Arabidopsis thaliana: one gene and its partners. The protein of the gene in region 1 interacts with the protein of each later gene in a pairwise test. Each region holds a gene or a part of one and is shown in the gene's direction. Other genes may lie near its edges.

The links.
Region 2: the proteins of ATAUX2-11 (region 1) and MYB73 interact in binary tests that used the Arabidopsis thaliana proteins (3 or more experiments, as listed by UniProt).
Region 3: the proteins of ATAUX2-11 (region 1) and RGL1 interact in binary tests that used the Arabidopsis thaliana proteins (3 or more experiments, as listed by UniProt).
Region 4: the proteins of ATAUX2-11 (region 1) and TCP11 interact in binary tests that used the Arabidopsis thaliana proteins (3 or more experiments, as listed by UniProt).

Annotation. Positions count from the first base shown.
Region 1 is NC_003076.8:17,546,043-17,554,144, forward strand, and holds ATAUX2-11 (AUX/IAA transcriptional regulator family protein), read left to right. Parts: upstream 1-4,136; 5' UTR 4,137-4,422; coding exon 4,423-4,601; intron 4,602-4,693; coding exon 4,694-4,996; intron 4,997-5,085; coding exon 5,086-5,164; 3' UTR 5,165-5,673; downstream 5,674-8,102. Other genes in the region: AT5G43690 (P-loop containing nucleoside triphosphate hydrolases superfamily protein), read left to right, coding at 231-1,226; AT5G43695 (uncharacterized protein), read left to right, coding at 2,207-2,246, 2,328-2,509; AT5G43710 (Glycosyl hydrolase family 47 protein), read right to left, coding at 6,210-6,497, 6,733-6,937, 7,025-7,095, 7,185-7,320, 7,412-7,491, 7,597-7,710, 7,804-7,885, 7,973-8,061. UniProt on the Arabidopsis thaliana protein: Aux/IAA proteins are short-lived transcriptional factors that function as repressors of early auxin response genes at low auxin concentrations.
Region 2 is NC_003075.7:17,538,978-17,546,858, forward strand, and holds MYB73 (myb domain protein 73), read left to right. Parts: upstream 1-1,512; 5' UTR 1,513-1,624; coding exon 1,625-2,587; 3' UTR 2,588-2,822; downstream 2,823-7,881. Other genes in the region: HMA1 (heavy metal atpase 1), read right to left, coding at 3,010-3,174, 3,263-3,349, 3,433-3,620, 3,705-3,921, 4,069-4,233, 4,386-4,491, 4,910-5,148, 5,511-5,623 and 5 more; AT4G37280 (MRG family protein), read right to left, coding at 7,771-7,864. UniProt on the Arabidopsis thaliana protein: Transcription factor that functions in salt stress response. Acts as a negative regulator of NHX7/SOS1 and CBL4/SOS3 induction in response to salt stress. In response to auxin, activates the transcription of the auxin-responsive gene IAA19.
Region 3 is NC_003070.9:24,742,298-24,751,218, forward strand, and holds RGL1 (RGA-like 1), read left to right. Parts: upstream 1-5,807; 5' UTR 5,808-6,029; coding exon 6,030-7,565; 3' UTR 7,566-7,889; downstream 7,890-8,921. UniProt on the Arabidopsis thaliana protein: Probable transcriptional regulator that acts as a repressor of the gibberellin (GA) signaling pathway. No effect of the BOI proteins on its stability.
Region 4 is NC_003076.8:2,675,878-2,684,132, forward strand, and holds TCP11 (TCP family transcription factor), read left to right. Parts: upstream 1-4,523; 5' UTR 4,524-4,950; coding exon 4,951-5,670; 3' UTR 5,671-6,116; downstream 6,117-8,255. Other genes in the region: AT5G08315 (Defensin-like (DEFL) family protein), read right to left, coding at 300-487, 643-703; AT5G08320 (E2F-associated phosphoprotein), read left to right, coding at 1,276-1,306, 1,718-1,883, 2,471-2,726; ATSTE14B (Isoprenylcysteine carboxyl methyltransferase (ICMT) family), read left to right, coding at 7,135-7,728; AT5G08340 (Nucleotidylyl transferase superfamily protein), read left to right, coding at 8,024-8,255. UniProt on the Arabidopsis thaliana protein: Transcription factor involved in the regulation of the circadian clock. Acts as a repressor of CCA1 by binding to its promoter. No binding to the LHY promoter.

The DNA of each region.
Region 1 (8,102 bases):
AAAACATGTTGTAGTAGCACAAATTAACAAATAAATTGGCTTAAAACGCACTATGCAATGAAGAGACGACAACCACAACACATATTTAACATCAAGATATTCTCTCAACCACCACTAATTGTTACTATTTTAAAGCTAAAATATTCATCCAACAAGAAACTTGAGTTACTCATATAGGTGATGTTTGCATATTGAAACAACACATTTGTGTACAACATATTAAGAAAGAAATGGCTGGAAAAAGTGATCTTCCTGTGATCGCGAGAGACGACAACCTAAGTGAAGAAACAAAAACTCTGATCTCTTCACTTCCTACATACCAAGATTCTCATGTGAAGCTCTGCAAGTACCAAGGATGTTGGTATTACCACAACACTCTCCAAGCAGTCATCAACTACCAAAGAAACTTCCAGCCGCAAGACACCGACATTATTCTCGCGTCTTTCCCCAAATCCGGTACAACTTGGCTCAAGGCACTCTCAGTCGCAATCGTGGAGAGATCTAAACAGCCTTTTGATGATGATCCCCTCACACATCCTTTGCTATCCGATAATCCTCATGGCATAGTACCGTTCTTTGAGTTCGATATGTATCTCAAAACCTCAACACCGGACTTAACCAAGTTCTCAACATCATCCCCGAGGCTGTTTTCGACTCACATGCCTTTACACACCTTCAAAGAGGGCCTCAAGGGTTCTCCATGCAAGGTTGTGTATATGTGCAGGAACATAAAGGATGTTTTGATATCGGATTGGCATTTCAGGTCCAAGTATAGCAACAATGAAGTATCTAGAAGCACTCTTGAGTCAATGTTCGAGTCATTCTGTGGCGGAGTTAGCTTCTATGGTCCGTTTTGGGACCATGCTCTAAGCTATTGGAGAGGCAGCTTGGAAAACCCCAAGCATGTCCTTTTCATGAGGTACGAGGAAATGAAAACAGAGCCGTGTGTCCAGGTCAAGAGGCTTGCCGAGTTTTTGGGGTTTCCTTTCACTAAGGAAGAAGAAGATAGTGGTTCGATTAGCAAACTCTTGGAACTATGCTCTCTTGGTAATCTGAGCGGTTTGGAGGTTAACAAAACCGGAAAAACATGGATGAACTATGACTACAAAAGCTATTTCCGCAAAGGAGAAGTTGGTGACTGGAAGAATCATCTAACTCCCGAAATGGAGAACAAAATCGACATGATCATCGAGGAGAAATTAAAAGGTTCGGACTTGAAGTTCTAGATTCGTGTTCTTTGTGGTTTGTAGCTTTTCACATATGCATTATAATAAAACTACCTTCTGTTTCTTATGTTCCTTTGATTTATGAGTATTGACTGTCTTTCAATAAAATAATGCATAGTGATTGGCCCAAAAATCAAAAGTGTGAATTTGACACAACTCCATGTATATTCATAATACAACTATTTCAAGATATGATGATTGCCCGAGTAAATACCGATACACCTAACCGTAAAGGCACAATAAAATGTGTGGTATAATAGATTATTACTACTAACAAAAAAGTTATAGTATAACTTTATTATTTTAACAGCTCATTTATTTTACATAATTCGTTTTTTGTTTATTCATTTTTTTATGATTATAAGTAACAAAAATATGCACTAAATGAATGTTTAAATTTATTTTAACATAAAATAAATAGTGTTGCTTATATGGATGCTTAGATGGACACCCTAAATGGAGAGAGGACTCTCCTATTATATATATACAGGTTAAACATTATGCAATGAAACCAAAGTTTTTCATTTCAAATCGAACCCAAAGTCTTGCCACAATTCAAATAAAAACTACAATATAGAATATGGATTGATGATTGTTATTTGCTTCCATATTTCAAAACTATATGATCTATCTCTTGTAACTCTTAAACTGTTTGTTTTCTAGTTTGCACTCTAGAATTGGTCTTATATTGTTAGTTTGTTACCGACTTTTTGTAGAATATCAGTTATACTAGTCTCATGTATATTTACAAAATTTTGTAATAAATTCATATAATTTTACTTAGTCAATAACTGGACTTTTTCCTTGTAATTTGATAAGTATTTATTTGGCTGGTAACAAAAACAAAATAATTAGTAATTTACAGTAGATCCCTTTATATAACTATTGTATCTAGAAATAGTTGTACTTCTACGTATTGGGGAGTACCCCGAGTTTTGTGTAACAACTTCCGCTATATATTGTAAAGTAAAAAAATACCAATGAAGTTTGCTTTCCTTATCTGCCTAATTGTTACATCAGGTAAAATTTATATTTCACGTGTGAAGCAAATAACAAAAATCTATATACAAAATTTGTTATTTATAGTTTCTGATTTTGTAGTGATGAGTATCGTTACTGTTCGAAATGTTGAGGCGAAAAGGTTATTACTTGAAGAAATTCCTCAGTTGCATCATGAAGGTTCGCCGCAGGTAGTGAAATTACTGGATGATGACTGCATGGATGGATGTCATATGAAATGTATTCCTAACAACAGAATTACTCCTTGTTTATGTCTATGTTAATTTTCCGTTTTCTTTTTTGAATAAGATATGTTTTCACTAATAATAAAACTTTGTTGCATAGTCCATACAAAAAATATTGAACATTATGTAAAAAAATTCAAAAAAGATAGTTAAGAACAAATTCAACATGGAAGAGGTGATGCCTAATTTTTCATCAAACCAGCCACCATTAGAATAATCACTAGGATGATATAAAAGCATATATATTGCCCACCAACTATAACTTATGAAGCTGTATATGTATGATCATGTGTGTAGCTGTTTTATATCATTTATTGGATCCAACGGTGGATCAATCCAACATAGAGTCCAAAAGAACCGGAACCGGAGAGAATGCCATGAACCGGTTTGTTGTTAGATACGTCTCATTTTCAGTATTTGATTTCTAGCTAAATAAGCTAGTCATGAACTTAAATCTCTAACGCCAACCATGCAATGAAACCAACTTTTCACATTTCAAATCGAACCCAAAGTCTTGTCGTCTACCGTGTAACAATAAATACCAAACTCACTACCTTTAAAATTCTCCTTTTTGAGACCAATTCGGATAAAACCAACAATCTCCTAAATGTTCACTTCCCAAATGTCGTAATCCATAAATCATACTCAAGAAGAAGGATTTAGACTATTAGGAGGTCATGTGCCAAAAATAACATAATACTAATGATAAATTAATCACAAATATTTAAGCACCATTTAGAATCATCAATCACAGTGGATTAGTGTTGGATTTGATTCTATTGAAATCCATGACTGAATAATACCCCTTAATGTGTAACGATTCAAAACTTTTTCTACAGAAAAAAAAAATTTGAAATCGAGACTAAACAAACTTAGGATAAAAAAATAGTCTTGAACATAGGTTTTCAAATTTGGTCCTCCAAAGAGATTAGGTTAGGTTTGGTTTACATTGGTTCACTAAAGCATGACAAGTACATAAACTGCCTTGCTGTAGTAACATGAAAACAAAGTCAGAGAGAAATCAAAACCCAAAACGATAAGACCCCATAGATAATGAACTGTCTAAAGACAAAACCTTTTGGCAAGATTTCTTGTCAGTTTGTTCCTGGATTCATATATATAAAGATCATTAGAAGTTTCATAGAGACAGAGAGACAAATTAAGTTGGGACTTTCATGAAAACTAGTAAAGAAAAACAAATAGTATAATTTTAACTCAAATACTATTTGTTTTTCTTTACTAATACTCTCGAAAGTCCCAACTCAAATACTAGTTGGACACACATGAAGCTACCAATCAGACCCAATGAAACTCAAAATCTTATCCTCCAAACACAGAAAAAAAGACTATGAATATGTTTGACTTTAGACAGCTAGAGTTTCAACTCAATTGACTAGGATGATCTAATCCTGATATCACATGAACCACAAATAGATGAAAGAGTAAGTTCTTGGCTTTAAGAGAGAGAGAGAGAGGTGACAAATGCATATGGCAGACCACAGTACATGTAATGCTTACCCTACAATAACTCAATGCTTGAACAAAAGAGAAAGGTTTTTTATATTCTGCACATGAGTGTACCATACTCTACCCCACTTCCTTGAATTAGGGCTACAGAGAAATGAATCTAGACCGTCCTCTAAAATCAAAGAAAGTATCTTTCTTTGTGTTGAAGATGAAAGTGTCCCACAAATGTCCCCAAAATGATGGGACACACTTTGCCTCAAAGTTGCTGCTACTGTTTACTACCCGACAGCTTTAGCTTTTGCCTTTGTCCTTAAATCAAGTTAATCCCATTTTTTCTAAATTACCAAAAAAGTGACTTTTCAATTCCTATAAAACAATCTTCTTCACAAAGCCTCTTATCTCATCAACAAGTCTTTCTCTCTCTCTAGACAACCACAAGAACACAAAACACACAAAAACAAAGAGGTTCTTTCTTTGAAGAAGAAATGGAAAAAGTTGATGTTTATGATGAGCTTGTTAACCTAAAGGCAACAGAGCTGAGATTGGGATTACCAGGGACAGAAGAAACTGTTTCTTGTGGAAAAAGCAACAAAAGAGTTTTACCTGAAGCTACTGAGAAAGAGATTGAATCCACTGGAAAAACTGAAACCGCTTCTCCTCCAAAGTAAGTGTTTGAATCAAATACAACTTCTCTGAAAATGTGTGTTGAGTTGTGAATCTGATCTAATCTAATCTATGCTATTTCTTGTTTTATAGGGCTCAGATTGTTGGATGGCCACCAGTTAGATCTTACAGAAAGAACAATGTTCAGACAAAGAAGAGTGAATCTGAAGGTCAAGGAAACTATGTGAAAGTAAGTATGGATGGTGCTCCATATCTAAGGAAGATAGATCTAACGATGTATAAACAATATCCAGAGTTGATGAAATCACTTGAAAACATGTTTAAATTCTCTGTGGGAGAATATTTTGAGAGAGAAGGATATAAAGGCTCAGACTTTGTACCTACTTATGAAGACAAAGATGGTGATTGGATGCTTGTTGGTGATGTTCCTTGGGAGTAAGTACAAATTTTCATTTATCTCTCAAATTAGTTAACTTATGACACAATCTTGTTTATGTATTTATGGTGTTTTGTTGTTATTGCAGGATGTTTGTTTCGTCTTGTAAGAGGCTAAGGATCATGAAAGGATCTGAAGTTAAAGGTTTAGGTTGTGGTGGTCTTTAACAAACCTAATTGAGAGATAAAGATCAAAGAGAAAGATTCAAAAACAGAGTTTTTTGTTCTGTTTCTTGAAACAGAGTAAATATAGCTCTGAAACTGCTCGGGTTCTTGGGGAGAGATGTTTCATACAATCATACTTTGTGAATGTTTACCTCATCGGTAAAAAGAGAGATGCTTAAAATGGTCTTAAGCATAAAAGTGTGAGAAAGATCTAAATCTAAACTTTAGCTGTAACTCTGTCTCCATTAAAGAGAAAGGTTTTGTGGTATTAGAAAGATCTAATCTGAAGATTATCTTTGTGTTTTTCACTTTTTATAATGTTCTTATCGAACAACTTTGATGTTTTTGATGTAATTACCCATTTTTCTGTTCTGTTTCTCTTCAAATTAAGATCTGTCTTTACAAAACTGTAACACAGAACATTAAACCTAACTTGTAGATGAACACAACGAAGACAAATCATTAAACCAAAGCTGCTTTATGGTAAAAATAATAATCCCAGCTTCTAAACATATATCATTGGATTCTAGTTTCTTTAAACTTAGATTATACATGTTTAGTCACCAAGATTAAAGAAATAAGAAATCTAATCGAGCAGTGAGAATATTTTTGGGGCTTTGGAAATGTTTATATTATCTTTTGTTGTTACCAACTGTGACTTTGGTCCCCCATACCTTAAACAAGTAAATCTACCCAACTGTGCTAATTTGTCTCCACTATCACTTATAATAATCTATGAACCTTGGAACTAGAGTAATATTTTAAAATGGTATAGATAGGTTCATTGAATTTAGGTTTTTCCTTTGTGCACCAACAATTTTTACATTCATACCTAATGTTCTTGATGCAAGATGATTATTAAGTCAAGAATTTTACCAAATACTTAAACCTAGTTGTCTCGATGATGATGATGATGATTATGATGAGACAACAATCGATCAACAAAAGAAGGATTCAAGATTCTTGATGAGATTGGAAAACTGAATCTATATTTCTAACAAAAGTTTTTGTAATCTTCTTCTGTGGAACATATATATAAATGAGAGATTTAAGAAGAGTATGATCTTTGATCATCAGTTTCTGACTCTAACAAGGTTAGCTCTTGACCTGTTTGGTCGTTGCTACTACCACCAGAGATTGTCATTATTGGTTCAGACTGAGAAGTAAATCCTTCTTCTTCCTGTGGTCTCTTCTCCACTGTTTGATCCGAGATTAACACAATTGAACTGCTTGTAACTACCGGTTTAGGTTGATTAACATCTTCACGATCTGTCTTCTCCGGTAGAACATACGAAAAACCATATTTCTGAGCATGTGTTAGTCCTGGACATAAACCCTACAAAAACCCCAAAACAAAAGAAACTGACTTTGATGAAAGAAAGAAATATTTTTATTTCTGGTACTGGCCTTTATCAAACCGGTAACTGGAAAAGATTCGTGGTAAGGAATCCGAAAGAAAGAAAGAAACATTTTTATTTCTGGTACTGACCTTTATCAAACCGGTAACTGGAAAAGATTCGTGGTAAGGAATCCGAAAGAAAGAAAGAAACATTTTTATTTCTGGTACTGACCTTTATCAAACCGGTAACTGGAAAAGATTCGTGGTAAGGATAATCGTTACTGTGATCATCGTTACTACTGTCTTCTCCAAGGACTTCTTGTTCTAGTTTTGTGGAATTGCTTGGACAGTATCCACCAAAGTAAGAGCAATGTTCCCGAGCTAGAGATATTTGTGGTGTTATTGGTAAGAGATGACCCTCAGTACTGAAGATGTACCTGAAGATTAAGTAAAATTATCAAGATTAGTGAATTGTTGTGGTGTTTGTGAAAATCAAGAGGTTAATGTGGAGGAGATATTTATACTTGTAAGGGCCATTGTCTACGAGGTTATCCGAGTCAACAGCTAAGTCAAAGAGTAGCCATAAGTACTTCACCTGAAATATTTTTGAAACAAAAACAAGTCAAGGCTTTAAGGTAAGCAAGTAAATGCATATTGAGAAACAGAGCTTTTCATGTATTTTACCGTTTCTGCGAGGAAGAAGCTCTCCATGTGATCTTCTTGTTTATGCAGTTCTACATCTGTGATGTGACAATAACCGCAAGGACATTTTGCCCCGTATTGCAAACTAGCCACAAAGTCACGTCCTGCATCAAGATACCTGTCGACGAGTAATTTGCATTGTGCAATTCAGTAGTGTGATCATCTTTGGATGAAGAATTGAAAAAAATATAACTAATTAATTTGGTGACCTGGGATCTCTGGTAGCTTTGTACAACCAGTATGTACTCTCGATTAATTCCGGCCTTAAGGGATAACTCTTTTGCCCATACTGTAAGGAAAATGAAGAATAGATATGAAGCTGTAACATCATAGTGCCATCAGACGTAATAAGTGACAAGTGATCACAGAGACACTTAAAATTAAGATAGAGTACCTGGACACTAAGTGTAGCAAGATTAAAACCCTCAGGGGTGAAACCATATCGTTTCCAGACGCTAAAGAAGGCAGTGTGAGTTCTTATTGCTGGATCAACGTCTCCAGCTAAAACCTTTTGAGAGAGAAACATAGATACAAAATCATAGTTAAATTTTCCAGCCTGAAATATATTAACAATTTGGTCAAACGTAGAATCACTATTTACCTGAAGTCCTGGCCAGAAAGCTTGAAGGCTGTTAAATACTGGCCAGACAATAGCTGCGGAATCCATATTGACTTCTACATACCTACGACAAAACTAGAAAAAACAGTAAGTCCAAACAAAGGAATTGTTTGTTCTTGTTTCTCTATCATACAAGATACAGAAAGCTTACCAAGGATCCTTGTGAAGGTACTGCATTGCAGATCTATAAGCTTCTTGAAAAATGTATAGATATTCCTCATCCCCAAATAGTATATAAGCCTGAAATTGTCAAATCAAACAAAAGTAAAGCGAGGAGTCTA
Region 2 (7,881 bases), on another chromosome or scaffold:
TTCTTCGGTTTAGTTGTTCTTCTATACGACAATTTATCACTTGACAAATATAAACGATCTATTACTTGCAACATTCATATTTAATCTAGTATCTTACACGTACATATTTGTTAGAAATTCAATGACCAAACATTGCAAAACTATTACATTCACTTGTTGCATGTAAGCTAGAAGCCTAGAACTCGCTGTCAACGACTACAATGTCTACATTATTTTCACCGACACAATTTACATCTTAACCAAAATTTGGATATTGGACCAATCGTTCGTTTATATAATAACCACACGTATCAATCAACACACAGAAGACAATGACATGTAACAAACAGTGTAAAATATTGAAAATAACTTATCAAAAAACTTTAGTTCATAACACAAAAACTTTCGGCTATTTTTTATTGACTTCTATGTAGTCTTTTTGTTGCACTTACTATTTTTAAAAGCAATATGTATGTTTCCAGCAGATTCTTAGTTTTTACAAAATTTTGCCTTTAATATTTTTTTTGATATACATTGCCATTCTTGATTTCATTTTCTTCTACAATAGTATCAAAATTTTACAAAATAAAACTTCAAAAAACATACGAAAAAGTTAACAAATATTCAAAAAGAGAATGATTTTAAAAAGGATATAAATATAGAGAGAATAAAACGTAGAAGTTAACGATTTTTTTTTGTGAGTGTCACTTTAGATGGAAAATGAAATGATTGGGTAAAAACGCTCCACCTGTAAAACAGAGAGTGGAAGAAACGCTCCTGTGTACGAGCGTACTCTCTCTTCAAAAGAAAACAAATCTCTCAAAAAAAAGAAAGAACAATTGAAAAAAAAAAAGCAAATCTCAAACTCAAAGTACATATACTTACTTGACACGTGTTAATATACAGCTGTATCCCAAGTCCCCAACCGTTTTTCCTGGAAGATTCTCTGCTCTCCACGCTCGATGTTAACCTCACACAAACGCTTATCTCCCAAAACGCCTTTTCCAATCGCCAACGTGTTTTATTTTTGGTTTAAAATAAATATCTGTTCCAATCATACAAACACGTAAATGTTGTCAATTTTTTTATACCCAAACGTTAACGAGGTTTGTACGTAGCCCATTTATGGACACATAATTATGAACATATAAACAATGGTTAATCATACGTTTAAATTAATTAAATTCACCAATATTTTTTTGACTGAATGAGTCAAAATTGTTTAACGAGTAACGACCATAATTATCAGTTTTTATTTTTTATTGTTTGAACTACCATAGTTATCCGTTTAACACTGAGCAAATCTCTTTATTAATAGAGAAAACGGTTTTATTTGTTTCCTTCTATAAAATTTGTTTTTAATAATACGTTAGATATTTTTATGCAGTTAAGGATAATATTACACTGTAAAGTTTAACTAGTTTAATATCGTTTCTGTTAAATCGATAAGAAAAAATTACCGGTTGAACCGGTGACCCTTTTGCCCACTCCTTTCTCGTATAAATACTCTCTCTTCTTGCTCTTATCCTCTTCAACCAAAAAGCTTTTCTTCCCAACACACACAAAAAAAAAAACTGTAACGACCAAAAAAAAAGAGGACGCGTTAGAAGAAAAAAAAAGAACAATCCGATAAAAAGATCCGGCGATGTCAAACCCGACCCGTAAGAATATGGAGAGGATTAAAGGTCCATGGAGTCCAGAAGAAGATGATCTGTTGCAGAGGCTTGTTCAGAAACATGGTCCGAGGAACTGGTCTTTGATTAGCAAATCAATCCCTGGACGTTCCGGCAAATCTTGTCGTCTCCGGTGGTGTAACCAGCTATCTCCGGAGGTAGAGCACCGTGCTTTTTCGCAGGAAGAAGACGAGACGATTATTCGAGCTCACGCTCGGTTTGGTAACAAGTGGGCTACGATCTCTCGTCTTCTCAATGGACGAACCGATAACGCTATCAAGAATCATTGGAACTCGACGCTGAAGCGAAAATGCAGCGTCGAAGGGCAAAGTTGTGATTTTGGTGGTAATGGAGGGTATGATGGTAATTTAGGAGAAGAGCAACCGTTGAAACGTACGGCGAGTGGTGGTGGTGGTGTCTCGACTGGCTTGTATATGAGTCCCGGAAGTCCATCGGGATCTGACGTCAGCGAGCAATCTAGTGGTGGTGCACACGTGTTTAAACCAACGGTTAGATCTGAGGTTACAGCGTCATCGTCTGGTGAAGATCCTCCAACTTATCTTAGTTTGTCTCTTCCTTGGACTGACGAGACGGTTCGAGTCAACGAGCCGGTTCAACTTAACCAGAATACGGTTATGGACGGTGGTTATACGGCGGAGCTGTTTCCGGTTAGAAAGGAAGAGCAAGTGGAAGTAGAAGAAGAAGAAGCGAAGGGGATATCTGGTGGATTCGGTGGTGAGTTCATGACGGTGGTTCAGGAGATGATAAGGACGGAGGTGAGGAGTTACATGGCGGATTTACAGCGAGGAAACGTCGGTGGTAGTAGTTCTGGCGGCGGAGGTGGCGGTTCGTGTATGCCACAAAGTGTAAACAGCCGTCGTGTTGGGTTTAGAGAGTTTATAGTGAACCAAATCGGAATTGGGAAGATGGAGTAGAGTGATAAGAACAAGTTTTCCCTCTGTTTCTCGGGAAAATAAAAGTTTCAGGCTTTTCATGTATAGAGCCAGTAGTAGAGACGACGAAAGGAGGAAGCGAAATCAAAAAATGTTTTGTTATCATCATCATATGATCTTCTTTCGTGATTCAATTAAAAGCAAAGCAAGATCATTTATTAACAATTTACACAAACTTGAAGAAGAAAAGTCAAAAACACTTCTCAAACTTTTATTCTATGGGTTTGTTACGAGGAAACAAACATAAACTAAAAGTAGTAAATATAATCTCACGTGACATAATATATGACCTGAAGAAACCAGTCGAAACGAAACATATATACGATTTTGATGTTTCATAAGCGATCATACAATTCACAGTGTCTTGCTTTTGCAGAATTAGACAAAGAACAGCAAGTTACCCCCTAATGTGCAGAGCTTAAACTGTTGCTGCTGCTACTGGTTGGTTCTTGTGAGCGTAACTTGTTGATTAGATGAACTATGTCTTGTTTCCACGACCATGATGGATCGTTTAGACCACGTACTGAGTTTAGACACACCAGAAGAGTCCCGCCTTCATGTAGAAGTACCTATGATCACAAAAATGCAGGTTAGCGGTTTTGTCTCTCGGGTAAATGATGGATAACAAAAGCTTGTAGTGGGTATTAGCTTACGTACCGTCAACCACAATGGGACAAACCCTAAAACTGAAGGAAGAGCGGCCAAGAATATCGATGTTAATGCAAGAGCTACGTTTTGCTTGACCTGCAACATGATACATTCTTGTTAAATCAGGCAATCTAACATCTGAAACTGGTTAAGAACAAAGACTTTTATGTTTTATCTACCAATGATGTTGTCTGGCGGGATTTAGCGACACAGAACGGAACACCGGTGATGTTGTCTCGAAGCAGTAAGATGTCAGCAACGGCAATCGCAGTGGCACTCGCTCGTTGAGCAAGAACAATCCCCACTGTTGCAGCTGCTAGAGCTGGAGCATCATTAATCCCTTCTCCTACCATAATTAAACCTCCACCTAGCAAAAATCACAACTCTAAATTCTCAGTCTCTTGATAGATGTTTTTGATTGGGAACTATGGCGAGAGTAATGAATGATCACCTGCTTCCCGAGCAATGTTCTTTACATGATTTAACTTATCCTCTGGCTTTAGGTTGCAGTAGACTTCGGTAATACCCACTGCGTTTGCAACTCTCCAAGCACTTGAATCATGGTCCCCAGTTAACATCATTACTCGGAGTCTGGCCCAGCTTTTAAGTTCTGCTATAACTCCTGACACCCCTGGACGAGGCTGATCTTCGAGGTGAATCAATGTTACCTGACAAAATTTAGTTGCAAGGCTCATAAATTTCAGTGTTACAGAGGTTTTTATGGACTAATAAATGGTCAGATGAGAGATGAAAATCACAGACTGTGAAGTAGGAAAGAGGTTTTTAGACCAGCTAAAGAAGTAGTCGTAGTATACCTTTTGATCAACAGAAAGAGCAGCATGAACGAAGTCCTTTCCGTACGAAGACGCGTTTACAGCATCCTTGATCTGTTTAGATTCATCTTCAGATTTGAAAAGTGAGGTAATGAACTCTATAGAACCAAGTGATGCTTTTCGTAATCTACTCTCTTCAGCTACTGTCTATTACAAAACCAAAAAATGTGGTGAGAGACAACATCATATATATTAAGAATGAAAGCCAGAGATGTACACACATCACCCACAGCTATACACTATAAAATCTGGTAGATAAATGGATATATATAAGAATCTAGTAAATAACTGAGTCTCACCTTAACACCGTTGACAGTAGCAGTAAGGCCTCTACCAGGAAAATATTCGAAGCTTTCAACAAAAATAGAAGGAAGATCCTTACCCACACTGTGATCTACAACAGCTCTGCAGCAAGATGAAATGTGTCAGAAACAGCAGAAAAGACCTATAGTACTCTTCAGTCTCAATCTCTTACCAGACCAAGCATCATTTAAACTAATAAACCAGTGTAAAAACCAGTGTAAAAACCAGAGATAGAGAGCTTCATAGCGTTCAAATTTGCTTTTTCCCCTTCCTTTCATCCGATTGTGGTAATGAACTAGAAATAAGAATAAGTTCTAGATGTAGGACTAAAATTCTTTACGTCAACATATCTCCTGAAATGAATGTACCATCCAACAAGATAACTTATTTCCCATGAGTTATAGACGCGCCACAGTACTAACTATGTGATGATGGGATGCACATAGGTCACAACTTGCATGGTTTTAGAGTTTGTGGTAATTAAGTTTTATACTAGTAATTGATGCTAAACAAGCAATACCTTCCAATAGGATGCGTGGTGCCCTTCTCCATGGCAGCCGCAACTGCAAGAGCTTCTTTTTCACAATTTGGAATGCAGCAAGTTATTACACTTGAATTAGTTCCTCCTTGGTGCCCATAAATGGGTTCAATTGCTTTACAAGTAAGGCCGCCGGTTGTTAAGGTACCAGTTTTGTCAAAAGCAATAGTATGGCAAGACGCAAGAGCATCTAGAACCTGTGCACCTTTCAGCAATATTCCCTATAATAGTTACACACGGTGGGGTTACACACTTACACGTGAAGATACTACCTTTACATAGCAAAAAAAAAGGAAAAAGAAAATAAACCATGTTTTCAACTGGATTTGGACAAAAGGAAAATGATATCAAATAGTTAGTTGAAATATGGTGGTCTTCATAGATAAGACGATGTTGTTGCATATGCACCATTCATTCCTCACCATTGACATTTGATGCACATAAGATTATTTAGCTTATAAAGCTTAATTTGCTACAAGAGAACATATACAAACCAATGCTCAAAAGTGCAATTCTGCAAAACATCACAACGCCAAGAAAGCTAACATACACTTGGTGATCACGTAGAGTACTTGAACAATACCTTTCTTGCACAGGAACTAATAGCAGTAGCATAAGCCAATGGAGCTACGGCCAGAGCACATGGTGATGCGGCCACCATAAGTCCCAATGCTCTGTAAACAGATCCTCTACATGCTGCATCATTAACAAGCAATGAAAGTAAGCCAATCAATTTTCCACTCTTATCAATTGTCCAAATGGTGATATATCTTATTAAACAACAAGAATAGTTTGTCACATCAACAATGATTTATGGTAATGTTAAGAAGGGAGAACTTGATCCTGACATCTTACCTGCGGTGCTGAGAAAAGGCCACTTGAACAAAAATGGACCTAGGAAGGCAATTGCAAGTGACAAAACAACGACAACCTTGCTGTAATTCTCGCCAAACTCATCCAGCCATCTCTGAAGTTTGGGTTTATTAGAATGTGCTTCCTCGGTCAGCTGTACAATCTTGTTAAGCGTCGAATCATTCCATGCCTTTGTAGCCTGATTTAGAAATTCCATGGATTGAGATAAGCATGAGGATTTCAAATAAAGAGACAAGCCAAAGCAATGAGAATAGGATAAAAAATACCTTTACAATCATTCTGCCATCCAAATTTCTTGCACCACCAGGCACTCTATCTCCAGCTTTTGCCTCCAACGGCTTGACTTCCCCAGTCAAGTGCTCAATTGTAATTGTAGCACTACCTTGATAGACTTCGCAATCTACAGGCACAATCTAAATGGAAAAAAAAATTCCATTACTTAACAGCTGCAATTGTAACCCTGCTAAAACTAAACTAATGACATACAGGGTCACATGTTTAAGAAATTCAAGTAATGAAAGCAAATAGAAAAGTTTCACAGACCTCACCAGTTCCAACCAAAACATAGGATCCAACTTCTACGCTGTGCACAGGAACGCTTTTGTATGACAAATCAGATATATTTGGAACATTGCCATTGTGTACTTCGATCAACAATGCAGAATCTGGATTACTCTCTTTCAATTCTTTGACATCCACCATTGATCGACTAGTAAAGAACTCCTCAGCTGCAGAAAAATGACAAGACAAAAGCTCAAACCTCTCCGTCATGATAAACATTAACAATGACATATCCCTAATCCTTATTAAGGTCAAGTTCTAACCAATATGAGCAAGATTGAACATAGCTAGAAGCAATCCTCCTTCCAAAGCATTTCCCATAAACACAGATGCAAAAGCCGCAAGTGCCATCAAGACATGGATGTTCACTTTTCCTCCAGCTATATCCATAAGTGCGTCGAGAGATGCTGAAACCTAACAACATCGATGACCATAAAGCTAAATTACTAAATCATCTGGCTAAATTATAAAACTAGCAAGGAGCTTTATAGAGAAGGCTATAGAAAACCTTACTCCAACAAGAGGAAAACCAACAATCATGAATGCGTTCTGAAGAGACTTAATGTAAGGTTCAGGAGCAAGGTAAGGACAGACGGCGGCAGCGAGGAACATTGCAGCGGCGGAGCAGCAAAGATGAAGATGCTCTCTGAGGTAATTGGCCAATCTAACCCATCCGATAGCTTTAGCGAATCCGAACAACATCTTCTGAGGCTTACTCTCCGCTTTCAATTCCACAGAACAGCATCCGTGTTGATGGTGATGATGATGGTGGTTGTGATGATCTTGCTCGTCATCGTGATGATGATCGTGATGGTGATCTTCGACAGCACGTAGACGAATCGACCGTGGTGGAAGATTAAGGGAAGCAGAGATACGAAGCGGTTTTTGACGGAGAAGAGTTTTAGGTGGAAGAATTGAGAACGAGTTGACTCGAGCGAGTCGGAGAGTGGATAAACCACGACGATAAGGGAATCTAGTAAGAGAGGAAGAACGAGTAAGAGTTGCAGGTTCCATGGTCGACGAATTTGAGCTCAAGCGTCGTTTTTCATGCCACCATTGATTCTGATCTCGCGAACTCTGCGTGTAAGAGTCGTTCGTCTTGGTGAAAAAGATGAAAGAATAATAACAGAGAAGGAGAACCAATGTAATTATTCCGATGACATTAGCCACATAAATAATCTCATCTCATACACTTTTTTATTTTTTCCATTTTTTTTGTTGCCTTCTACCAACCAAGGTTCCATTGTTCCGGATGTTTTATTGACCACTTAAAGAAATTTACATGAACCAAATAGTTAACTTCAAAGGCCTGTAAAATATTTCATATTCAGCTGCAAATCTTACAATTATGAATTCATCAGAAAAATGAAGGAATTCTAAATTACAACAATATTTTTTTCCTGGAGATGTCAGTCGTCTTTTCCTTTGCCTTTACCATCTGAAACCTTATCAGAATCATATGCTGATGGTAGCAAGAAAGTGCTCTGATTCTTCTGAATAAACCTGTAAAGATTTTTTTC
Region 3 (8,921 bases), on another chromosome or scaffold:
ATCTACATGTTATGCGGGCGATTACCTCTACAAATATAATTTGTTTGTCGTCGAACATTTTAATTTATTTTGAAATCTGATATGAAGACATGAATTATTTGAATAACTTTCTTTTGTTCTGATTAAAAATATACAAAATCTTTCATTTAAAATATAACGTCATAGTATTCGTCTTAAGTAGCTTTGAAGGATAACTAGAATTATATTTTCTTAGTATATCCCTATAAGAATGTAACATGTAATTAGACGCTAGAGAAAAAGAATGTGACATGTAATTATTAATGCATCGTCGATGCATGTGTTCCACATGCAGAGAAAACGATCGTGTTGAATATTTATTGTGTCCACCAAAGAAACAATCTATTGGATTACCTTCTTCAAATGAAACTATGATAAAATGAAGTAAATGTGATGGATTCCCTTATTAATTACCAACAAGCTAAGTTATTATCAAATAAAAACTTAAATAAAATGAAGTAAATGTGATGGGCTCCTCTTTTAATCACCTAAGATCTCTATAAATGTGTAATATGTAGCTAGTGGTTGCTTGCAATTGTCTTGTCATTGGTGGAGACATAATATAGTGGCTCAACTTGTTTACTACAAAATATAATTTTGGTCTTGTGATTGTAAGTTATAAAATTTCGTGATGAGCTTTCTGAAAAATGTAGGGTCTTCTAATAAATCTTTCGATTGGTTATATATTCAATTCTATAGGTGAAAAGCGATTTACCACTCACTATATCAAACTCTAGTACTACCTTCAATTTATATTTTCTTTGTGACACACTCATGTCTCGTTTTTCTTTGGCCAATAGTTTTGTGAAAACAATCAAGTTTAGTGGTATCAACCAGTGGACAGGTTTATGTTTATTGTATGACACATTTGACTACTAACCTGTTCAATGGAACTTATTAGATATTTCTTTAGTTCACATAATTAGGAGGCACCGAAAATGGATTAATATTGTAAAAAAGAACTGTCTATTTCACGATTGTCTTCTCTCTTGTTATAGATGAATTGATTTAATTAAATAGGGAAATTATCGTGTCCCATAATGCCACAATAACAAAATTAATAAAAATAAGTAAATCAAAATGAAGTAGAAGAACCCAGATTCCAAATGAACAAATGCCAATAGACAAACAAAAAAAAGTTCACACTATAATCCGATTGGTAATGTATAAAGAATAAAAAAAATTAACGAATAAAACTAAATGTTAATGATATATATAATTAAAAACAATGCAATGTAGCGAATAGAAAAAGCGGCAAAAAAATCTTAATTTTTTTTTTATCTCGTTTTTGATATTGTTATGTGGTTAGTTATATTAAAAACGGTACGAATATACCACTACGGTGTGAAGCTAACAATCACACCCTATATCTCTAAACTTTTTAGCCAATTTTCATTGGATTCTCTAAAAATTAACTTGTTTATTAATAAGAAAACAAAATCTTAAAAGAATACAAAACTTAGGTATTTTAATTGCATTCTCAATTTTTACAACTTCTAATTCACATCATGTATACGAATAATTCGCATTCATAGGGACCACACGCTTTTAAGATTACTTTTAGAGAAACAAAATATTGAAAAGTTTGTGAGTGATGATAATCGATCGGAGATGGGGCAAAAATTTGAGAGCGACAAGGAACGTGAGTCACATGGAAAGATCGATCATATTATACAGCAAACAGAAGTCCCCACACCAACATGAATTGGTGTCATATGTATGAATGTGAAGGGCCAAAATCATCAAAAAGAAAGTGTTGTGTCATTGTGGACCTTGATTAGGGGTAAGCTCGTAATTATTTGTTTTCTACTTATATTTTCTTTGGTACCAATTGAATTAATTTTTTCCGAAATCGGCTATGAAATTATTGGCCTCTTTTTTGCCCCACCATAACAATCCAACTACTTTAATTCCTTCTTAGTACAACAACGGCTACTTCACTTTAACATTGTCTAGCCTTTTTCTATTTTAAGTCAAAATCTTGACAATGCACATGACCCCTTAGGAATCCACATTAACGATATTATTATCGTACATATTTTAGGTTATTAATCATCCCAGCTAATTCATTCGGATAATATCTAAAAACATGATGGTTTGAAATATTGGCATCGTTTCTAGCCACTTATTTTGAAAACCATTGATTACTTATTTACTTATAAGTCATTTTAACCCAATATACAAATAACGTGTTCGTCGATATTAAAACATTTCATTTGACAAGCATCAAGAGTATAATTGGCGGTAAATCTTTGGTTACAAATGAAGGAAATTCACAACAGTTCGACTTTGTCTTAGATGTGAAATAGAAGAAGAATCTATTAATCATGCGATTTTTAAATGCCCTTATGTTCGTCATACTCGGAGATTAGCACATATCCAATCGGCAATTAATGTATATTCCTCCAAAACGAATTTTGTTAATCTGAATTTTTATTTTATTTTATTTTTTTAGAAACCATGATAAAAATAAAACATGATAGATCAAATTTTAACCCAAAGATTACACTACAATGGTATTTAATCCATGAGAGCTAAAACAATCACACAAAAGTTTACAAAATTAACTCAAAAGAAAAGATTGTTTTGTATGGTTTCTAAATTAACTAAGGGGGTGTTTTTCGTTAATGGATTTTATAGAATTGAAATCCAACACTAATCCACTATTATTTAACTAATGATTCTAAATCCAGCTTTAAAATCTAGTGTTATTGGAACTCATATTTGTAAATCATGCTTAATAGATTCTAAAGTTTGGTGTTATTCAATTAAGATTTTAAATATTTCATTAAAATCCAATGTTATTCAAAACTAAAAGACTTGTAAAATCTTTGTATATTAATTGATTTGAAATGAAAGTTCTTTAGAGTTTCATGAGTAAATCATTAGAATCAAAATCCAAGACATATTGCAGAGATTTTGAAATTCATACAAACATATTCTTAAAAGCAATATCGGAAAACAAATCTAAAGCTTAAAGAATTGACTTTAACTCCATAATTGAATAACACCACCTAAGACATTAGTAAATTGTAAGTGAATAAAAGAAAGCAACAAAAATAGTTAACAATTGGTAGATAAGAATTACATGCAGTGTAAGAAAATTTCACAAGGACTCAAATCACAATTATCAAATTTTGTAAATAGATAAGAATTTTCAAAATATCAAGTTGTCTAGCTAAATACTTAAGATTGTAAACTGCAATTCAAATTCAAGAAATTAAAATGGACATATATAGGGAAGTTATGGGCATGTATGTGATCTCGTACATCCCTTAGAGCGAGGTCTAAACCATCATTTGGAAAGCTCACCCCTTCCAACACAAATCGAACACATGACTTCTAAAATCTCTACGTTTTCGGTGATCAAAGGGATTTACCACTAGAAGTGCCAAGTTGACGGTTCTTGGGAATGTAAACTCTACTTCTAGGTTATGTTGGATATGCTTTCAGGAGGAATCTATGACCCTATTGCTAGGATTTAAGTCCCATCGCAAAAATATTACTCTGCTCATTTTCTTGAATTTCTTATATGGGCTATGAAGACCATTCTATCAAGTGCACTCACATGGTAGAAACTAAAGTCGGATCTCTGAGCTGATCATGATAACGCAATACCCCTTTGAGTGGCTCCACTTTAGTGGACTATTGTTTTCTCTTATTGTACTTTAGGTCCTCGTGAATTAATCTCTCGGACGAAAGTGTTTAGCATGTAGTATTTTAGCCCATTATTTGGGTAACCAATTAATGTTTATTCCCTTAATGTATTGGTGATGATAAAAAGAGCAAGTAGACTACTAAGTTCTTACCAACCAATAACCGAAGGTACCAAACGATTCGAAATTAAAAAGAACGAATAATACTGATGAAAACTGTTGAATTAAACAATGTCATAGAATATAGTCACTTAATTATGACTATTTCTCTTTCAAGGCACTAATCATCCTTGTAAATCATCATACTTTCCAACAAGTATTAGTAAACAAAACCTACTAAACTAAAATAGAACCTTAATTTTAATTATCATTGTTTAGACATTTTTACATACATGTTTTGAGGAAAAGTCTCCTAACTATCATAATGATCAAGTCTAGTCTACTATTAATAGCAAAGAAATTAAAGAAACTATCAAAAATATTTGGACCTAGACATCAACATCTAACAGTATAACCTAATCAATCAAAGTAACAATCTTGGTTCGAAATGAGGATATGCATTATGTGAAAAGGGTCATTGTAGAACTATGAAAAATGGTTATGCATATGGGGAAGCTTAAAAATGTTTTATGATTGCATGTATCTTTCTTAAAGCTCATACCGAAAGAGCTCCACATCTAATAATGGTCGTAACCACACAGTATTTTATTTATTCTCCATCTATCGCCTTTTGAACATGTCTAAAACACAAGTATATAATAAAAATGCGTATTACAACACAAAAATATATAATACTAATATCGCTAATAAGAATATAGAATGATATTATTATATATTCTTGTTGGGTTATTTTGACGACAGTTCTTAAGTCAACTTAATTATTTTTGCAAAAGACATTTTTGCACGTTAGTTGTAATTTTTTTTCGCAACTAAAAATATATGCAAATATTTTACATAAAACATCTTTTGCTTTGTTTTGTCAATCTCTTATGCTTACACTACTTGATAGTCATTTCTTTGAGGAAGAGCGCCAATCCTACAAAAAAAGTAAGAAATATTTATTGTTACAAAGGTGATTCGAATTCGAGTGATAATTTCACAACGACGCTTACAAGAATAGCTAGATTTCATGTATTTTCCGATTACCAATTTTTTTTTGTATCAACAACAACATGCATATGAGTTTGAACTTCGACGGTGTCACATCAGCTCTTGCACACTAGCACAAATCACTAAATTACGTTTTTAGTCAATTAAAAATAATAAAACATATACAAATATGACCACAATCATAATACTACAATTGAATGGCGATGATATAAATTCAATTTTTGTATTAGTAATACGGTTTGAAAATCTACATTCGAAATGTGAAACGTACAATGCCATCATTATGCAAAAAAAAAAACAACTTTCAAACATTATTCTATATGAAATGGAGGAATTGGTAAAAATAGAATTCATTACATCACCTAAAGATTAATCACCCGATAATATAAAAACAGAAAACTAAACAAGATTTCCCTGAAATTTATAGTTTAATATATTTTCTTATGAACATAATGAATTTCTTTATTTATTCTCATTTATGAAGATGATATAAAAGTTTGAACAATAATCACAACACAACACATAAAAAGTAAATCTCCTAATCACCAAAAACTATAAAAATGAAATGTATGTTTTTGTAGTTGAAAAAAGGGTGGTGGTTGGCTTTAGAAATTGGACTTTTAACCTAAATGTTTCTCTACAATACAACTTCCAAATCATAACCGTTATTTAATATTACACCTAGTCTTCATCAAATAATCAAAATCACAAAATAATCAAATATCAAAAACAAGTTGTTATAGTTTTTAATCAAAATAATTATGACATAGCATAGATTATAGAATATCTCGTTCAAATAATGATGTCAGGTTTACATCAATCAAACTGAATTTTCTCGAGAAGCATATTTTGAAAATTAAAATTTATTCGCAGAAAAAGAAGAGAAAGGAATCTACTATTATTTACTGTATATTATATAAAGAGGAAAATAAAATAGGTAAATAAATTTCCTTTTATAATTGCTTTAGATTGCGGTTGTACCACGGCTCTGCTCTTGCTTTTAAGAACTTGCCGGTACTAAATTTCATATACTCCAATTAAAAGCTAGCTCGAAACCCCAAATGTTATTTTATTTTTCTATATAATAATAATCATACATTATAAAAAAAAATCATATCATTATTTAAAAATAGAATTTTATTTTTCTTTCTTCTTCTTCAATTATTATGACACTCCCGTGTTCCTAATCTTTTCTCTTATTCTTCTCTTTCTTCTCATCTTACAAAATCTTGCAAATCAATTTTAATGAAGAGAGAGCACAACCACCGTGAATCATCCGCCGGAGAAGGTGGGAGTTCATCAATGACGACGGTGATTAAAGAAGAAGCTGCCGGAGTTGACGAGCTTTTGGTTGTTTTAGGTTACAAAGTTCGATCATCCGACATGGCTGACGTGGCACACAAGCTTGAACAGTTAGAGATGGTTCTTGGTGATGGAATCTCGAATCTTTCTGATGAAACTGTTCATTACAATCCTTCTGATCTCTCTGGTTGGGTCGAAAGCATGCTCTCGGATCTTGACCCGACCCGGATTCAAGAAAAGCCTGACTCAGAGTACGATCTTAGAGCTATTCCTGGCTCTGCAGTGTATCCACGTGACGAGCACGTGACTCGTCGGAGCAAGAGGACGAGAATTGAATCGGAGTTATCCTCTACGCGCTCTGTGGTGGTTTTGGATTCTCAAGAAACTGGAGTGCGTTTAGTCCACGCGCTATTAGCTTGTGCTGAAGCTGTTCAACAGAACAATTTGAAGTTAGCCGACGCGCTCGTGAAGCACGTGGGGTTACTCGCGTCCTCTCAAGCTGGTGCTATGAGGAAAGTCGCGACTTACTTCGCTGAAGGGCTTGCGAGAAGGATTTACCGTATTTACCCTCGAGACGATGTCGCGTTGTCTTCGTTTTCGGACACTCTTCAGATTCATTTCTATGAGTCTTGTCCGTATCTCAAGTTTGCGCATTTTACGGCGAATCAAGCGATACTTGAGGTTTTTGCTACGGCGGAGAAGGTTCATGTTATTGATTTAGGACTTAACCATGGTTTACAATGGCCGGCTTTGATTCAAGCTCTTGCTTTACGTCCTAATGGTCCACCGGATTTTCGGTTAACCGGGATCGGTTATTCGTTAACCGATATTCAAGAAGTTGGTTGGAAACTTGGTCAGCTTGCGAGTACTATTGGTGTCAATTTCGAATTCAAGAGCATTGCTTTAAACAATTTGTCTGATCTTAAACCGGAAATGCTAGACATTAGACCCGGTTTAGAATCAGTGGCGGTTAACTCGGTCTTCGAGCTTCATCGCCTCTTAGCTCATCCCGGTTCCATCGATAAGTTTTTATCGACAATCAAATCAATCCGACCGGATATAATGACTGTGGTCGAGCAAGAAGCAAACCATAACGGTACCGTATTTCTCGATCGGTTCACGGAATCGCTACATTACTATTCGAGCTTATTCGACTCGCTCGAGGGCCCGCCAAGCCAAGACCGAGTGATGTCGGAGTTATTCCTAGGACGGCAGATACTAAACCTTGTGGCATGCGAAGGAGAAGACCGGGTAGAGAGGCATGAGACTTTAAATCAGTGGAGAAACCGGTTCGGTTTAGGAGGATTTAAACCGGTTAGTATCGGTTCGAACGCGTATAAGCAAGCAAGCATGTTGTTGGCACTTTATGCCGGGGCTGATGGGTATAATGTGGAAGAGAATGAAGGTTGTTTGTTGCTTGGATGGCAAACGCGACCGCTTATTGCAACATCTGCGTGGCGAATCAATCGTGTGGAATAAAAATAAATAATGGGAAAAGTGAAAATGTGCTATATACTTTATTGCATTGCTGATAAAGAAAAAAAGTCCCACGTTTTCCAAATTTTATGAATTCTAAATTTTGTTCACTTGTCACGAGATTTTGACCTCGCATAAATAGACTATTACGTCAGGGTCAGGCCAATGAAATGATTTTTTATCACTTGTTCTCATTAAGGTAAAAAAGGTCTTTTCTATTTCATCTTTGGTTTTCGATAAAATTAAAATTGAATAAGAGATGAAATAATGATATATATAAGGTGATAGTCTGATAGATATGGATAAATGTTTCATGACACGAACCAGTAGTCAAGTTCTTTTGAGAATAATCCTAAGACCATGGACTTTAAATAGATTGGTTAAAGGGTCATTATCTCTTTAATTAAGGAGGACAGTGGTGTGTTTAAAATGTATTTGTGCTCTTTTGACGTTGATTTAATTAGTACCCACCGCCAAATAATATATGAGCATTCCTGTTATCGCATGTTGACATCATTTTAAGAAAATGATTTTCGTAGGTAACATTTTGTTGGTAATCAATTTAACAACTACCAATTTTATTACTTTTAGAAGAAATATGCATGAGCTGACATAATTATACTGTACATAAGTTCATAAGTTTCTGTCGGTAGAGAGGTTTGTTCATCAGGAATTCGTAATGACGCAAAACATAAATTTGTCTTTAGAAACTTTATATGAATATATAAATTTGGGAAACTATTATAAATCCTCATAAATTTTAACAAATTTTCAAATACTTTTACCTTTCTAAAACTTTTATATGTTGTTTCTTATAACTTACTTACACAATTTTGTAACAATTTTCCAAGTATAACCAGAATTGTTTTGGTAATAAAACCTTCCTCAGAATATGTTCTTGGAAACGAGATTTTAATTTGATGGGCATCATCATTCTTCGACACTACAACCATTTTAAAATTTTGTTTTACTCGTTGAAAGTATTTTCTTTTCAATAATGGTGCATTCTAGGTTTGATTAAATTGTGAAGTCCAAACCCAAGCCCAATAAGGGAAGTTTGAGGCCTAACCCAACTCCTAATATAAGTTTCTCGTGTGTGTAATTCTATGATATTACCTTTTTACGATAATTTAATTAGTCATTTTAAAAATCTTTTAATGAACTAATGACGCGTCGAAGCCGCGATTAAAAGCTGCAAAAGTACATGCATGAAGTCAATGTATAACGCTTTCTATGGTATTGACCTTGGCAAGTTTAAATTTTTTAGGCTCATATTTCGGACCATTTAAGGAAAGCAATATCTAGAAATGGAATGTAATTACAAATGTTCTTAAACACGACACCAGTCATTTAGGAAAG
Region 4 (8,255 bases), about 15 Mb from region 1:
TCTTTGTTTGCTTTTGGACGGGATGTTAAGTCCTTATCAAGTTTTTATTACTTATTATCTTAGGTGTATTTTAGTCTTAGGCTAATATTAGAATTAAATTCTGAAAAATAAATCAAAACAGATTAAAAACTAAGATTTGCTTCTTAGTTAAGAGGTTTTTATGAATGAAAAAAGTAGCAACATATCATGTTTCAAAATTTTAATTTGAATAATTATTAAGAAGCAAAGCTAAACATTGTAGATGGTCTTAGTAATCAAACAAACGCATTAACGCATGCATATTTGTTTTTAATTGTGAGTTAACAATAACAGTGGCATTGTCCTCCGTGAGACATAGATTTGCAGTAACCGCCTTTTCCATTGTCGCATCCATTGAGACACCAACTGTTACATCTCTGGTCGTCATTTTTTGTGTTGCACTTTCCAAATTTCGGGTGGTTATTACAACACAAGGAACCACCATTCTCTACATTATATCCTTCAACATCTGCCAATATCACAAAGAATTGAAACAGTTTTGTCTAATATGAATTCATGGAATTTTGTAATTAAAGTAATAAGTTTGTATTGAAACACAAAAATAAGTTTGTTAGAGTGTAAAAACTTGAGAAAATACCCCTAATTATAAGAGAGAATACGTACCAATAAGTGAGAAAGTGAGAATAAGGAGCAAAGCAAAGGAAAAAACTTTCAAACCAGCCATTGTTAATAGTTTTTTTTTTTTTTATAAGTGTTTATAGATGATTGTGAAAGTGATGATTTTATTATAATACAATGAGATGTTTATATACACGTAGAGGTAACTAATCACAATTAATGTAAATATATGAATATACATAATTAGAGGATTGATATATTCAAGGATATGAATGTATTCTTTGATTGATTGTGAAGATACGATGGTATCCGTTTAAACTTGTTTTTGGTAATTCTATGGTAACGTTTTATTTAGTCTATTGGAAAATTCAAACCCCTTCATGCTCTGTTGTACAGACAACTTCTTCTTGTTGCAAATAACAAAACACCTTAAAGGCTAAAATTAAATACTGATTTTTACGAAATGGGCTTCTTAATTTCTTAAGGCCCATATATCTTTCCATCTGAACAATTTGTAAGCCCAATTAGAAGCCACTGTAAGTTATATAAAACGAAGTTTGTCATCGTCTTCGTCGGTGAACCTCCGATTTGACTGCACCGTCGGAGCTCGACGCTGAGCTAAGCTTAACCAAGAGCTGTCGTATATTACACTAGCAGTGAAGATCGAATCTTAAAACCATGGCTTCTCCGACCAATTCACAGAAAACAGGTAAAATAAAACCTTTAATACGCTCAAACCCTTTCACTCGCTGGCCGATTCGACTCAATCCCTTTGTTGTTTCGTTCCTTCATCCATGGATTTCTCATAGGTTTCGGTTAATATGATCTCTCTTTTGCTTTTTTTGTCATCCATCGTATTGAGACCTTGAGCTATTTAGTATTTAGCTAAGTTTCTGAATCTTTATGGTGTAATTGATGTTGCTATTCGTAAGCTAATTGATGCCATAGATTGCGAAAAGAGAAGTTGTTTCTTCAGTATTCAAGAGATTTGTGTTCTTGTGTTCAAGTTTAGATTTCAAGTTATTTTGTAATAATGTGGAATCAGAAGGACAAGTATGTCTATTTTCTGTATATTGATTTGATGAGGCCTAACTTCTTCTTGTCTACTACCTTGTAACAGTTTCGGATGACGAGGAAGTTGATTACTCCATCAAACCGGAGTTCTATGATTCAGATATTGATGATAAAGATGAGCTTTGGATGGATAAGAAGAGAGATGGTCGTACTTCTGATGCTCTTCTTAGCTGTCCAGCTTGTTTCACCACTGTCTGCTTAGAGTGTCAGAGGTATTTTCCTCTCTCAACATCAGAACTTGGTGTTTTATCTTCATACGATTGTTATATCCCATCCAGGCTTTGCTTTCTCAATGTTGCTAGGGCTCCATTGTTCAATCCTCACCAATGTGTTTGCTAATATATTGATAGTAACTTGCTAGATTCTGGAATGTTGACTTGATTATGAGATTCTTGACAATTGTTACAGGCTCTAGGTTTTTGTTAGGAATGACAATCTTGGTAGAATCCAAACCAGTTATATGACTTGATTAACGAGAAAAATTTCTACTCTCAGTCCAATTCCCAATCCCAAAACCCATAGGTAAATCCAGAACTACCTTTTCTAGCTGCTAGCTCTGTAGCTAACTAACTCAAAGATTGCTGATACAACTACTATCCACTACACACCGCCTAGGCTATTACAACACTCATGCGATAGACTAATATAAGGACTTTATCACAATGGATTTCTTTCTTTCCTCTTCAATCCGATGATATTGTTTTGTTTATGACTTGATCCCTTTGCACTTCTTTGAACTTGGTTTTAGTATTATAAACTGCGGAACCAAATTAAGACAATCTGAGTAAAACTTTTGCAGGCACGAGCAGTATGTGACACAGTACAGAGCAGTCTTTGTGGTCAATTGCAAAGTAGGTACAGACACAGTTTTGCAACAGAATACAATGCCCTTAAAGGTTGGTAAAAGAAGGAGAGATTCCGAGATGCAAGAAACTGGTTCTGAAGATAGCGAAAAAGTTAACCCGGTCTTTTGCTCAGCTTGTTCCACAGAGATCGGAGTAGTTGACAGTGAAGAGATCTACCATTTCTTTAATGTCATTCCAAGCGAGCCTTAAAACAACCTGGTTTTATGAGTTATTTGTAACGAGTTCTAAACAGGTGATTAGGATTAAAGTTTCGATTGTTTGCGTTAATCTTTACGTTGCATGTATATCGTTTGATAAAAATCAAGTCACTAGAGAATTTTGAGTTATACCAAAGTCAGAATCGTTCACAGTTCACATGATTAGTAATTTAGTATCAAACAAATACCAAATACAACAAACTACAAAGCGAGTTGGTCTCTGAACGTCTTTTAGTCACGCTAGTCAAATAGATGGCAGAAGATAAAGCGATCCTCTCAGTTTAAAAAAACGAGATGACGTGGATTATTCTGATTGGTGGAGTAAGCTAAGAAAATCTAGAGAGGCATCGCCAAATGAGAAAACTAGAAAAGAAGATATTTGTATGAAACACGAGTTGATTCTCTTTTGACAGAAGTGTCACTTTCTTGTATTTTCGTCCACCAACCCCCATACTAATAATTCTATACAAATTCCCATTAATAAATAAAGGCAGATGAGAATGGGCTCCAGCTGTTTAACACATTTGACAATTGTCAAATGATTCGTACACATATTACTATTTTAAAATAAAATAAAAAGATTAGAATATACTATAAGCATTTTTGGTAAATTGGTGATCATTAAAAATTTCTATGCATTTATCCAGCTAACCCCACAACTAATCATTCAAATCCCAGTTAATCACTCAATATAACTTTTAACATGCGCCGGTCATTAATAATTGTCAATTGTATCATACAATTTGTATGTAAGCTTTTGTGGCAACGTTTTCTTTTAAGAACTAGCTAGTTCAATTGAATCCTAGCAAGTAGCTACGAAATGTGACTAAAATTTCTCTACGAGTCTCTAGTTTGGTGGTTCCTCAGCTGTGCGTCGTAGTTTCAAGTTTTTACTATCTATCATACTTTAAGCATGCACAAAAATATTCTTTTCATCGCTTTTGATAGCACCTTCACGTATTATATCGACAACTTTAAGAAGTTGGCTTGGGTATAGTTTTTAAAAAAAGGCATTTAAACATCACTCATGGTTGTATCGTATGGGTACGGCAATCATCATAACAATTATTTCTGTTAAAGGATTTCACAATCATATAACAAATATTAAGACGATAATATAGTATAATGTGCATTATATATTCATCATGAAAGAAATTATTGTCGCGAAACAATTTAAAAAATCTCGACGCAACGACATATCAAAATCGGCATATCTGCCAGGTGGGCACGGCTACTTTTATTATGCCACGCTCCAAATGGAATGATTTGTTTTATTATTGCTTAATGGGTAATAAGAATTTTGATTATACAAATTGCACACACGAACGCATATCGTGTGGGGGTCACAGTGGTTGGGTTATACTCAGATTAGTAACCTGTGTCATAAAGCGCGTAATTGTCATTTCTTTTATTTGAGCTATTTATTTATCCTAGAAGTTAAATAAAAAATAAAAAATAAGAGACAATCACAAATTAGTAGATGTGAAATTATAAATGACTAAAAATAAATAAATTAAAATCGTACAAAATAGAATCGTAATCAGTGTAGGTGTAAAGTATACTCACCAATCAATTACCACCATTGATTGTCTCTTATTCCTCATCTTTTCAACTATTGTGGAAACTGGAAACAGCTTTTGTCTTAATTGCAATCTAATTTCCCTACATCCTATAAAATGCATTAAACTCATGAGGTAAACGTGTATGATTACTGTGGTTACAAAGCATAAAACATATACTACTTCATTCTAAAACAAATTTTATCGATAAGAAATAAAGGTAAAAATCAGCATTGTTGTGGTTACATGTCACAGAAGTAATAAGAATTAGTAAAAACCAAAATCGAATTCATATTATTCTTGTAACGCTACTTATTTTCTACGAATCCTAATTACTCGTAAATTAGCTAATGTAATTCAAGCAACCATATAAATGGGGACCCCAACTAACTCCTAAACCTAAAAACTTAAATTCTCCTGCCCGACCGTGGTCCAACGCTATAGTCAACACCGGAGTCAAGCGCGTGAGCTTCAACCGCGTCCGGACAAATTAAAAAAACCTAGCAGAAGTGAGCTGTGTGGGACCCCACCAGCCATGTGCTCTCCTTCCTGTCTCCACCAGCCTAGCTTCCTCTCAAATCATTACCTCCTTCTTCTTCTTCTTCTTCTTCTTCTCCTCGAGAGAGAGTTAGATAGTGATAACGAAATCCTAATTCCATGGCCGACAACGACGGAGCAGTGAGTAACGGCATCATAGTCGAGCAGACGTCAAACAAAGGACCTCTTAACGCCGTTAAGAAACCACCGTCTAAAGATCGACACAGCAAAGTTGACGGAAGAGGAAGAAGGATTCGTATGCCAATCATTTGCGCAGCTCGAGTTTTTCAATTGACCAGAGAGTTAGGTCACAAGTCCGATGGTCAAACCATAGAGTGGCTTCTCCGTCAAGCTGAGCCTTCTATCATAGCCGCCACTGGAACTGGCACTACTCCGGCGAGTTTCTCCACTGCTTCTCTCTCCACTTCTTCTCCGTTTACTCTCGGGAAACGTGTCGTCAGAGCGGAGGAAGGAGAATCCGGCGGCGGAGGAGGAGGAGGGTTAACAGTGGGACACACAATGGGGACTTCGTTAATGGGTGGTGGTGGTTCTGGTGGGTTTTGGGCTGTTCCGGCGAGGCCGGATTTCGGACAAGTCTGGAGCTTTGCAACCGGAGCTCCACCGGAAATGGTTTTTGCGCAGCAGCAGCAACCAGCTACACTCTTCGTCCGCCACCAGCAGCAACAGCAAGCTTCCGCCGCCGCAGCAGCTGCAATGGGTGAGGCTTCAGCAGCTAGAGTTGGGAATTATCTTCCGGGTCATCATCTCAATTTGCTTGCTTCTTTGTCTGGTGGAGCTAACGGGTCGGGTCGGAGGGAAGACGACCACGAACCACGTTGAGAAATGGTATTGTCTTTTTGGTAATGTATAGAAAAATTCCTATGTTTTATGTCATCGAAAGTGTTTAGAAAGTACCTCTAATTTGCGGTTTCTTTTGCTCCTTTTTTACTTAATTTAAGCTTATTGCTTGTTTGATTAGGGTTTTAGGGTTTAAGAATATTTGGTCTCGTTAATTTGTTTCGGAGAGTGATAGAAAGAGAGAGAGATTGATTGATTGTTGTACCTAAAACGCTATAAAAGCTCTGTTTTTACTAGCGAAACAGAGAAGTCGTTTAACTAGTGATCATTGCCATTCAATCAAGTCTCTTTAGAAAACTAAAGAAACAGCAAAAGAAACAAATTTGAAGTTGTCCCGTTAGTTTTAAGCATGAATTCTATTATGGTTCGTTCGTTAATGAAGTTGTCCCACTATTTACTCTTTCGTAGTAAAGGAAACAAATTTGAACTCGGGTTAACGGAGCCGGTCCGGATGATAATTCAGGTTCCACCAAAAACTTTTAAAACTAATAACAAGCCCATCCACTATCCAGAGCAGTATAATCGTAAGCTTCAAACACAAAAGAAATACTTCAATTTAACTCATCGTTATCAGTTATAACCGGAACAAACCGATAGGGGACCATTGGATCAAACCGTCTCGAACCGGTAACCCTAAAATAGTCTGGTTCTTGAAATTTCGGTGATCCTGCAACGTTTCTTCTCATCGATTTTGACCGGAAGCTCCTTGATTCAAACAAGACTTTTCTTATCGGGGAAGATCAGACGGAACAGAAGAGATCTCTGTGTTTACAAAAGTAATTCCTTGATTATAGCAAGCAAAGAATAAAGGGTAAAGGTGTAGACTTTGCTTCTCTCCTTCAAAGTCCACGCGATTCTCACTGTCAGCCTCTGCGAAATTTCCAGTCTTTCTCGCATTTTCCCTCGTAGCAGCCGTCAATTTCAACTGGGTATGTCTTAGATCTTCGTAGCGTTTACGGTTCCTGCTCAATTCTTCGTTTCTCGTGGTTTGACAGTTGAGTTACAGAAAACGAGGACGAAAAGCCTAATTGAAGAAATTAGTGATTAGAATTTTGTGATTCCGTGAAATTTTAGTATTAGTAAGTATAGACAGAATAGAAAAAAATCCCGTACTATTCATCAGCTATACATATCTGTTTGTAATTCTTTGAGTAAGATCTTCAATTCTCATGTGAAAACTGTGTTTTGAATGCTTGTCATAGATCAATTGTTGGATTAAGAAACATTGTAGTTTAGTGTTAGAAGAACATTAATGTGAGATTTGTTACATTGATTGACATTAGTGTTCCTGTGATTTGGTTTTAAAAAATCTTTGGTGAAGTGAGTTGGATTGGATTTTACTTGAATGCTTGTTGTTTCCCATCTTTTGGCTAATGATGTTCTTTGACCTTCTCGGGTCTGTTACTCGCATGTTTTTTCAGGTCTAAGTAATCTTGTGAAGACTCAATGACAGAGATATTTAGTGACACCGGGTTCAGACAGTTAACTCAAATGTTCCTGGCGATAATCTTCTTCCACACATCGGAGTACATTCTCGCCATAGCCATTCACGGAGCATCGAAAGTAACTTTAAGCTCACTCTTAATCAGCAAACACTATGCTTTAGCAATGCTAATATCAGTCCTCGAGTACATAGCCGAGATTGTTTTCTTCCCGGGGCTGAAACAACACTGGTGGATCAGCAATTTCGGTCTTACAATGATCATACTTGGAGAAATCCTTCGCAAAACCGCGATAATCACAGCAGGTAGATCGTTCACACACCTTATAAAAATTCGCCGGGAGGAGCATCATAAGCTTGTGACAGAAGGAGTGTATCAAATCATGAGGCATCCGAGTTACTCCGGGTTTCTCATTTGGTCTGTGGGAACGCAAGTAATGCTCTGTAATCCAATTTCAGCGATTGCGTTTGCGGTTGTGGTGTGGCGGTTCTTTGCAGAGAGAATACCTTATGAGGAGCATTACTTGAAGCAATTTTTTGGGAGACAGTATGTGGAGTATGCGCAGAGAGTTCCTTCTGGTGTTCCTTTTGTAAACTGATCCTTAGATCAATTGTGAACATATACGAGCATTGTTTGATTACCTTTTACATAGAAAATTATGAAAGAGATGTTGTTACTCATGTTTTCAGTTAATGTTCTCTTGTCAATGTCTTTGTGTTTCTTTTTTTTTATTGCTAAATAATTTGGATATTATTCCAAAGACTCTGCCTGAGCCAGAGGTTTATGCTTATGAACATAAAATTTGACCACTGGGTTTTAAAAGTGATTTAGCTCCGGCGAAGAGTCTCTCCGTGAGAGCGAGCTTGTCCGATTTGTAAGCACGAGACGGAACCATGTTGTGCGGAGGCTCACGTGTCTTGCAGCATTTGTCCGACCACAATCATCATAATTCGATTGGTTTAGGATTAGGGTTTTGTGGTGCTAAGATTGTGCAGCTCTCTTCATTCTTTCTCAGGCCTTCTCAGGCTATGGCGAAGAGTCATCATTTCAGCCGTAAATTGCGTCAGCGGATGATTTCTTCATTTGGGTCTCATTGCAGAACATCCGGAGAAGTCCCAATTCTTC